Linked DNA regions of Cricetulus griseus. The protein of the gene in region 1 interacts with the protein of each later gene in a biochemical or structural test. Links are inferred from orthologs where the notes say so. Each region holds a gene or a part of one and is shown in the gene's direction. Other genes may lie near its edges. The genes, in order: Gjd2 and Lnx2.

What was found.
Region 2: the proteins of Gjd2 (region 1) and Lnx2 form a complex in vitro, tested with the Homo sapiens proteins (2 studies listed by BioGRID and IntAct, with this or other methods). The link is inferred for Cricetulus griseus from reciprocal best matches to the Homo sapiens genes GJD2 and LNX2.

The regions. Positions count from the first base shown.
Region 1 is NC_048599.1:64,469,505-64,473,650, forward strand, and holds Gjd2 (gap junction delta-2 protein), read left to right. Parts: upstream 1-1,410; coding exon 1,411-1,481; intron 1,482-2,513; coding exon 2,514-3,408; downstream 3,409-4,146. UniProt on the Homo sapiens protein: One gap junction consists of a cluster of closely packed pairs of transmembrane channels, the connexons, through which materials of low MW diffuse from one cell to a neighboring cell.
Region 2 is NC_048597.1:82,925,941-82,930,233, reverse strand, and holds the start of Lnx2 (ligand of Numb protein X 2), read left to right. Parts: upstream 1-1,259; 5' UTR 1,260-1,393; intron 1,394-1,420; exon of another isoform or gene 1,421-1,595; intron 1,596-4,293. Other genes in the region: protein POLR1D, read right to left, coding at 329-354; Polr1d (DNA-directed RNA polymerases I and III subunit RPAC2), read right to left, coding at 329-354.

The DNA.
Region 1 (4,146 bases):
TGTTTCAATTTTCCTGGGACCAATTAAGTAGGTGCTGTAGATGGAACTGACAACAAAATGTAAATTTGAAAACTCATTGAGGGAGGGAGAAAAGCAAAGGCTGAATAAGGAGAGTCGGGGGTGGGGTGAGATTGTGAGCTGCTGTTTCAGCTAGATAAATACTGGGTCTCCTTAAATTCGGGCTGGACCGTGCTAACCTGGAAAGTACCCCCTACTCCCATCGGCTACGGGCAAATAAAAACACAGCCTCCTAATCTGTGCAGGGAGAAATGAGAACTCATCGTGGCCAGTCCACTGGCTCGCTGCTAGGCACCTGTTTGGTTGGCAAGTACTTTGTACCTAGATCTTCATGCTCAGAACACCTTCCCACCCGCATTTAGGCGTCAGCCAGCCGGGAGTCTCACTCCAGCACCTGATCAACCCACCGAAGCCAGGACCCTCTGCAGCACTCTCGTCGGAGGCTGTCCTCTCCCGGTAAGGGCTAAAAAAAAGCCCTTCCCCCAATCAGCACCACGATCTAGAAAAGGAATTTCAGTGGTGTCTCAGAAGGCCCAAAGCTAAAGGTGAGGGACAGGCGGGGGTTGGGGACTGGTGGGGGCAACTACACTGCCTGCTCGGGTCCCTCCTCACTCACCTACGTGTCTGCTCCTCCTGCCGGAGGCCGGCGGGCAGGTGAGGTTACCTGGGAGCCCCAGAAGCCCCGAGGGGCGCTGCAGTCCTCGGTCTCCCTAGCCCCGGCGCAGCGGGGGACTCCAGACCGTCTCCTCCCCCCCGCAGCGCGGCCGCGGCCCCTCGGGCTCCGACGCTGGGCGACAGCGGCACGCCGCGCTCTGCTCCCCTCCGCCGACCTGGCGTGACGCAGGCGGAGACTACTTAAGGGCGGATTAGAGGCGGTGGCCGCGGATTCCCCAGCCCCGCAGCCAGCTCTGCGCGCCGCAGCAGCGCGGGAGCGCCAGGTGCCCGCTCCAGTGACAGGCACTGGGGCCGGTGCGCGGACCCTCCCTCAGACCGCAAGATCGCGGGGAAGGCGGCGCAGAGACCGGTCTCCGGCGGGCAGGAGCTCGGCCACCTGCACGCTGCCACTCAGCCCCGCCCCTCGCCGGGAGACTGCGGGAGTCAACCTGATCCCCGGACGGCAGCGAGGTGCTGGATAGCTCCTCCGCACCGCGCCAACAGCCCCATTGGTCGGGTCGCGCATAGATTGCTTTCCCCCTACTCCCCTTTTTTAAGTGCAATAAAAGGGGGAGGGGCTCGTGGATTTTTTTTTTTAAAAAAAAAAAACATTTTTGTTTGCTTCTTTAATTGGGGGCAATTCGCTCTCGGTCAGGAGGTGCGGCCCGGGGAGGGGCCAGGACCAGGAACGTGCCCGGTACTGCCCAGTCTTTGTCTGCTGCCTCCGGATGCACAGCGATGGGGGAATGGACCATCTTGGAGAGGCTGCTGGAAGCCGCGGTGCAGCAGCACTCCACTATGATCGGGAGGTAAGGGCACCAAGCCAGACGTCAGCGGGCCCGTCGGGCGGCCCTTGGGAATATCTTCTCCCGTCTCTAACGATCCCCCAAACCCCCAACCAGCCCTCTGCCTCCTCCCCATCCTCTGTCCAAGTGCCAGTGTTGCCTGCATTAAGGGATTACCCGGAGCCCAGTGACGCCCCCCTCCTCCAGTTACTCCTGACCAGCTCCCCCATACTTTCTCTATAAAGCACCACAAGGGGAAGGGGTTCACGCTTCTCTTATCAGAAAAGGACTCGTGGACTCAGTCCTGGTACCCCTACTCTCCAGAGTCAGCGCCAATCTCCATCTGGTTCCCTAAATAGAATCTACAAGGAAGGCAGAATTGCATTTGGACAGAGAAGGGCAAGTGGGGAGATGGATTTGCTCATCACAGCAGATGCATCATTCTTTAACAGAAATTTATTAAGCTAGACCCCGTCCTCCGTTAAAACTTAATGCCAGAGAGCCACACACATAGCTGGCTTCTTTTTGTGGATATCTATATGTATGTATATATACACATGTGGATGGATATATATTTATTTATTCATATTTATAACTACCTGCAGTTATTTATTTATGTATATAGATGTGAATTTTGTATTCATAACTGTTTCTAGTGACAATTCAGTTCTAAATGTTGAGACTAGGATAGGACTACACAGGTAGGATCCTTTATAAAAGATTCTGTATGCATTGGCCAGAGTAAAGATATGTTTGCAGTCTGTAGACATTCTTCATCTACAGATTAACTATATACATTGCAAAAGAACCATAAACAGTGCATGAAATTGTTCAGATGTGAGATCCTTGTAATATGAAGTATTCCAAGCTTTCCAGCACCAAGCAGAAAAGGAAAACATAAAGTTGTTTTCTAGGCTCTCAGTTCAGTACCACTCAAGGGTGGACAGCTCCCCTGTTCAAGGACTGGTAAACATTGGAACAGGAAAGATCAGGGACTTCCCATCAGTGACTTAGCCTATGAGAACCTCTCTTCCCCCCTCCTTTTCCTCTGCTCAGGATCCTGTTGACTGTGGTGGTGATCTTCCGGATACTCATTGTGGCCATTGTGGGGGAGACGGTGTACGATGATGAGCAGACCATGTTTGTGTGCAACACCCTGCAGCCCGGCTGTAACCAGGCCTGCTATGACCGCGCCTTTCCCATCTCCCATATACGTTACTGGGTCTTCCAGATCATAATGGTGTGCACCCCCAGTCTCTGTTTCATCACCTATTCTGTGCACCAATCAGCCAAGCAGCGAGAACGCCGGTACTCTACTGTCTTCCTTGCCCTGGACAGAGACCCCACTGAGTCTATAGGGGGACCTGGAGGAACTGGGGTTGGGGGCAGTGGCGGGAGCAAACGAGAAGATAAGAAATTACAAAATGCCATTGTCAATGGGGTGCTGCAGAACACAGAGAACACCAGCAAGGAGACAGAACCAGATTGCCTAGAGGTTAAAGAGCTGACTCCACACCCATCAGGGCTTCGCACAGCAGCAAGGTCCAAGCTCCGAAGACAGGAAGGTATCTCCCGCTTCTACATCATTCAAGTGGTGTTCCGAAATGCTCTGGAGATTGGGTTTCTGGTGGGCCAATACTTTCTCTATGGCTTCAGTGTTCCAGGGTTGTATGAGTGTAACCGATACCCCTGCATCAAGGAGGTGGAATGTTATGTGTCTAGACCTACTGAGAAGACAGTCTTTCTGGTGTTTATGTTTGCTGTGAGTGGCATTTGTGTGGTGCTCAACCTGGCTGAACTTAACCATCTGGGATGGCGGAAGATCAAACTGGCTGTCCGAGGAGCCCAGGCCAAGAGAAAGTCGGTCTATGAGATACGTAACAAAGACCTGCCTCGAGTCAGTGTTCCAAATTTTGGCAGGACTCAGTCTAGTGACTCTGCCTATGTGTGAAACAGCAGGTTTGGGGAAGGCCTGTTGGGTGGCAAGTAACCTCAAGGCAGATGATGACTCAAGGGTAGACAGATCTGCCCTCATTTTTGTGATGCTCGCTGTCAAGGTCTAGGATACAGATGTTAAAGGGTCTTCATCGACAAAGAGAAAAGGTAGAACTGTCATCATGTTACACCATCCGTTCTACAGAGACAAATTGGGTAGAGTGACAAGGTGACTGAGCTGGACTTCCTTGGGCCTTTCTCTTTAATGGTCCTTCCTGCTTCTGACAATAGTGGACTGGCACAGCTGCCAAGCAAGACTTAGCTCTGCTGAGCTCTGTATTCTGGTGAATGGCATGAGTCAAATACTCATTGATATAAAATTTGTGACCCATCTCAGCACATCCCTTTATCCTGGGCTGCAGAAAAAACATCCCTGAGGATCTTTCTCCCCCATCAGCATGCCCCTTTCCCTCAAACCCAGGATAGCATGCCAGCTTTTCTGTTTCCTTGATCTGGCCTTACATTAGCCCTAACACAGTTTATCTGCAAGCTAGAGGGAATTACATGGGGTGCTTTTTGGAGACTGGCCAGGGCAGAGGTTTGCAGTAGAGCCCCATATGACTGGCTCTTAGTCATTATGAAAACCTTAGGAATGTCTCAATATTTCCAATTTTTTAACTCAAATTGCACTGGTGCTGTTTATTAGGGGTGGGGGATGGGAGGGAGGGGATATCACCAACACTTCTGTGAGATG
Region 2 (4,293 bases), on another chromosome or scaffold:
CCGACTTAACATGCCAGCACCGCCCGGTGCGTGACCTTACACGAGGCAGTTCTAATGGGGATGGCAGTTTGGCACTTAGAGCTGGATTCCCAACTTCTCTCCCCTCCAGGATGGCTAGTGTCCCTCTGAGCTTTTCTGTATAAACAAACCCACCACCGCTTCTCCTCCCTCTTCCCAACCCGCTCGGCTCTACTCTCGATCTTCCCTTGCCCAGCGCCTCGGGTCAGGCCTAGCCGCCCCGCCGGGCCGCAGTCGGCCGCGTGCCCGGTCGCTACCCGCTTCGCTGGCCCGGCCCGCCGCCCCCTCCACTCTTCCCCTCCAACCTTACCTCTCCAGCTCCTGATCCTCTTCCATCGCGAGGGGCGGCTCCAGGAAATCCTCAGGTGGTGCTGCCGAAAAGGACGCTCTTCCCCATATCGCGAAAGATGCGGGCGAAGCAGGAAGGAAGAAACCACCGACGGAAGAAGCGGATGACGGAAGGAGGGGGGCGGAGCCGCAGCGGCGCGGCAGGACCCGATGGAGGGGCGGGGCGAAAACAGAACACGCCCCAGCCACGCCCCGTGCGGGCCGGACCGCTCACCTGGAACTGCGGAAGCTAGGAGGCTACGGTGCAAGCAGTCCCTCGCCTGTCGCCCCCAGACACTGCTGTTTAGGGTCGGAGTTGAACCTCTCATCTGCTAGACCCACCAGGGACGGTACTGCCCCGGGACTGTCTTCCCCCCCCCGGACTGGAGTCCTTTGGAGCCTTTCGTAGGGCACCTTGCAACCTTGAAAAAGCAGAGAGACTTGTGTGCAGAGATGACTCTTCTGACCATACTGAGGTTTACAGGGAGCATTTTTCTCCCTGGGGTGCAAATGCACATCTCCATCAGGTGCAAGGCAGCGTTTGTCTTTCTTTTCGGAGAGAAGTATGAGTTTGGAGCACCGCCCTCCTTCCCCAGGAGCTCGGGTTTACCCACTGTGGACCTGCGGTTCCTTTCCCCTTTGATCCCAAGGAGCCGCCCTTCTCTTCCCCTCAGGTGCATCCTCCCAGTTCCCACCTGACCCTGGCCAGGCTGGGTCCCCGCCCCACCCCAGCTGTCCTCTAGCGCACACCTACACGTCAGCCACCCCGCACCACCTGTTCTCCCTCAGCCTGGTCCCGCAGCCCTCCCCTCCCTTCAGCTGTCCCACGGCCGGCGCGGCGCTCCGGGGTGCAAGCAGACACTTCCCGAGCGTCTTCTCTGTGTGTGTCTGAGAGAATCCGGCCGGGAGCGATGGCGGAGGGCGGAGCGTGCTCACTCTAACTCGGGAGTGATGAGCAGGGCCGGTCTGGCCCCTCGAGCTCCTTGATTGGCCGAAAGACTCAGAGCCCGCTCTTAGTCCCGCCTTTCTCCGCCGCTGATTGGCTCAGGTGCGTGTCGGGTTGGGCCCCTGCGCTCGCCCCCGAGGGGAAAGGCAGCAGGGGCGGTTGAGAAGTGAAGTCTTGGCCGGACTTTGCTTCTCGCCAGGAAATCGGCGGCGGTGAGTCCCGGCGGAGTGGAGCCGGGCGGCGTCCTCGTCAGCGCTCCTGCGAGGAGCCCGCCGCTTTCCCTGAGTGAGTTACTTCGCCTCAGGTGCGGGCGGTGACAGGGTGTGGCGCTGGGGTAAGGGGAACCGCCGGGGGCCGCGTGGAGTCCGGCCCGGCCCGGTGCGGGTGCGGGTTCCCGGCGCCGCGCTGCGGGTCTGCGCGACGCTCGCTTTTTAAAACGGGGAGCTCTGGGGACGAGTTCTTGCACTTCGCGTCTGCACGTTGTCGGGAGCTAAAGCAGCGCTAGCTGGCTGCCCTCTGGTTTTGTTCCCTGGAAGAGATGAGCAGAGATCCTTCTCCCCGCCCCAGCCTGTTGCGGGAGAATTCTCACCTTTCCCTTCAGGCTAGAGACAGATTTGACGTGTTTGGGGGAAGGGGAGGATCATTTCCAAAATATGCATCTCAGTTTGGAAGCATTTGCGCACAAAAGCACCGCTTGGGAAACATTTCTGGCTTTCCAAAGCTTTCTGCCACGTTTCACACAAGGACTTTTTAAATGGAGTATTGGAGTATTCCCGTTTACGTTTAAGATTGTGTGTTTGCCAGAAGCCTAAGGACGCTTCCGCATGGCTTTATCGAATTAATTTTTCTTTTCTCACTGTAGAGCCCTGTCTGGCCTGGAACTCACAGGATCCGCCTCCCTCTGCCTCCTGAGTGCTGTGGTGTTAGAAAGACATGCGCCCCTACACCCCGCCAATTTTTCTTAAAAAAAAAAAAAAAAAACAAAAAAAAAAAAACAAAAAAACGCAGAAACCAATGGCAAGGACAATTGGAGGAATCTGTGAGCTCTAGTTGATCCAAACTGCCTTCACTTTAAGAATGTCACATTCTTGTAGTCACAGTACTTAGAAATTGGCCTCCTTCCCAGGACACATTTTGCTTTTTCTCTAGCCTGTACAGTGACACAGCACAGATGAAGTTGGATCTCAGGAGGTCAATTCTGTTTGCTTTGGTAGATTTGAACACCCTCCCCCACACCTTTGGAGAAAAGGACTTTGACAGGTAAAGAAGGAAAGTGGAGGGGAATCTAGTGTCCTAGTTAGCTGTTGGATCCTTGTTGAGCTAACTAACAGTGTTTTGCCACTTTAGCCTGTCCAAATTCCACATGAGTTTTCCCATAGGAGTCAAATGTAGGCCAAGTCAGAACAGCACTAGAATCACATTGCTTTGTTTTCAGTCCACTGCTCAATTCTAATTCTGTATTTTGTTCCTCAAGTCTGAAACTTTTCATTGGATTTACATCTGGTATCTACATTGTTCCCTGGTGGAAAGAACAGGATCATTTCTTGCCTAAAGTTGCTAAGGGTCCATATACTTCTTGGTCCTCTAATTACCTCAGGGTATTTTGGACAAAGTGATGTGGGAACTTGGAAGCATTTCTGCCTAGAATGCATCAGAGAAACCACAGGCAATCTTCAAATTGGTATGGGCTTTCTCCAGGAGCATCCCAAATGCTTATGTCTATGGAATGTGACATTATCTGCTGTGCACATGGCTAGTCTGAAGAGCACAATGTTTGGGGTTGAAGTAATGGTCAGGGCTGATTTGTTGTTCATCTTAGGGTTCATGGCACTTTCCACAGGGCGTACTCAGATATTTGTTGAAATGATCAAAAGAAAGGATTTTGTATATCACATTAAGGCATTTGGACTTCATCCAGTTCGTGATATCGAGGTATTAATTTCAGGCAGGAAAATTCCATAAAGATAACTGCAGCTGGCTGGAGGATGGTGGTGGTCCAGATGAGAGGTGAGAGACAGACTGGGGGGCTCTACTATGTAGTCTCTGTGCATATAATCTGGCCTTGAGAAAGATTTTGTCACCCTCTGGACAGTCTCTTTGTTCTTTAGCATCTTTGTCTGGTAGGATTTGGAAACTTGAAAAAATAAAAAAACAAACATGGCTATGGCTTAGATTAGTGCTTGGTGATCAGTACGAACTTAGCCGGTGCTGGTTGTCAGTCTGAAGAAAGCTGGTGTGGCATTCAGGACGTAGGGCTACTAGATGAGTGACTAGATAGCATCAATGAAAGATGATTCCTGGCTTTTTGTTTGTTTTTAAGACTGGGTTTCACTGTGTAGCTCTAACTTGCCCAGGAACTCACTTTGTAGACCAGACAAAGATCTGCCTGCCTCTGCTTCCCGAGTGCTAGGATGAAAGATGTGTGCCACTACACCCTGTGGTTCCTCCTTTTTTTATTTTTTTTATTTATTTATTTTTTTTAATGGGGCATGGGTGTGGATGAATTTAGCTGCTCCTGGAAGCTGAAGAGGGTCAGGTTCTTTCAGATGACTTTAGAATTACTATTCCATCTGAGTTTTGATTCCCTACCATGAAGGAAATAGTCACAGTACCAGTTTAGTAAGGTTTGAGGATCAAGTGAAATTATGCATGTAATGCCCTTGACACAGTCTATGGTGCAGCCCAAGTGCTAGATAAATATTAGTTGTTCCTTTAATGACAATATTAGTGAGATAGTGGAATGTTAGAGGCTTGAGAAGGAACAGTTTCAAACACCTGGTAAAGTGAGAGAAAGGGAAGTGAAAGGAAGTTCAGCTCAGGATCAACCTTGTGAGGAGCTACATGCATGATTGGCTTGTCGCTGTGCGTGTTGGGATAGACATTGCCAAGAGAGGCCTGGAAAGAGGAGAGAAAGGAAAAGAGCTTGCATTAAGCCTTTTTTTGTGTGTGGTAAGCTCTGTGTGAGACCTGGGGACAGGAAAAGCAAATTTGGGGGGAAGGGG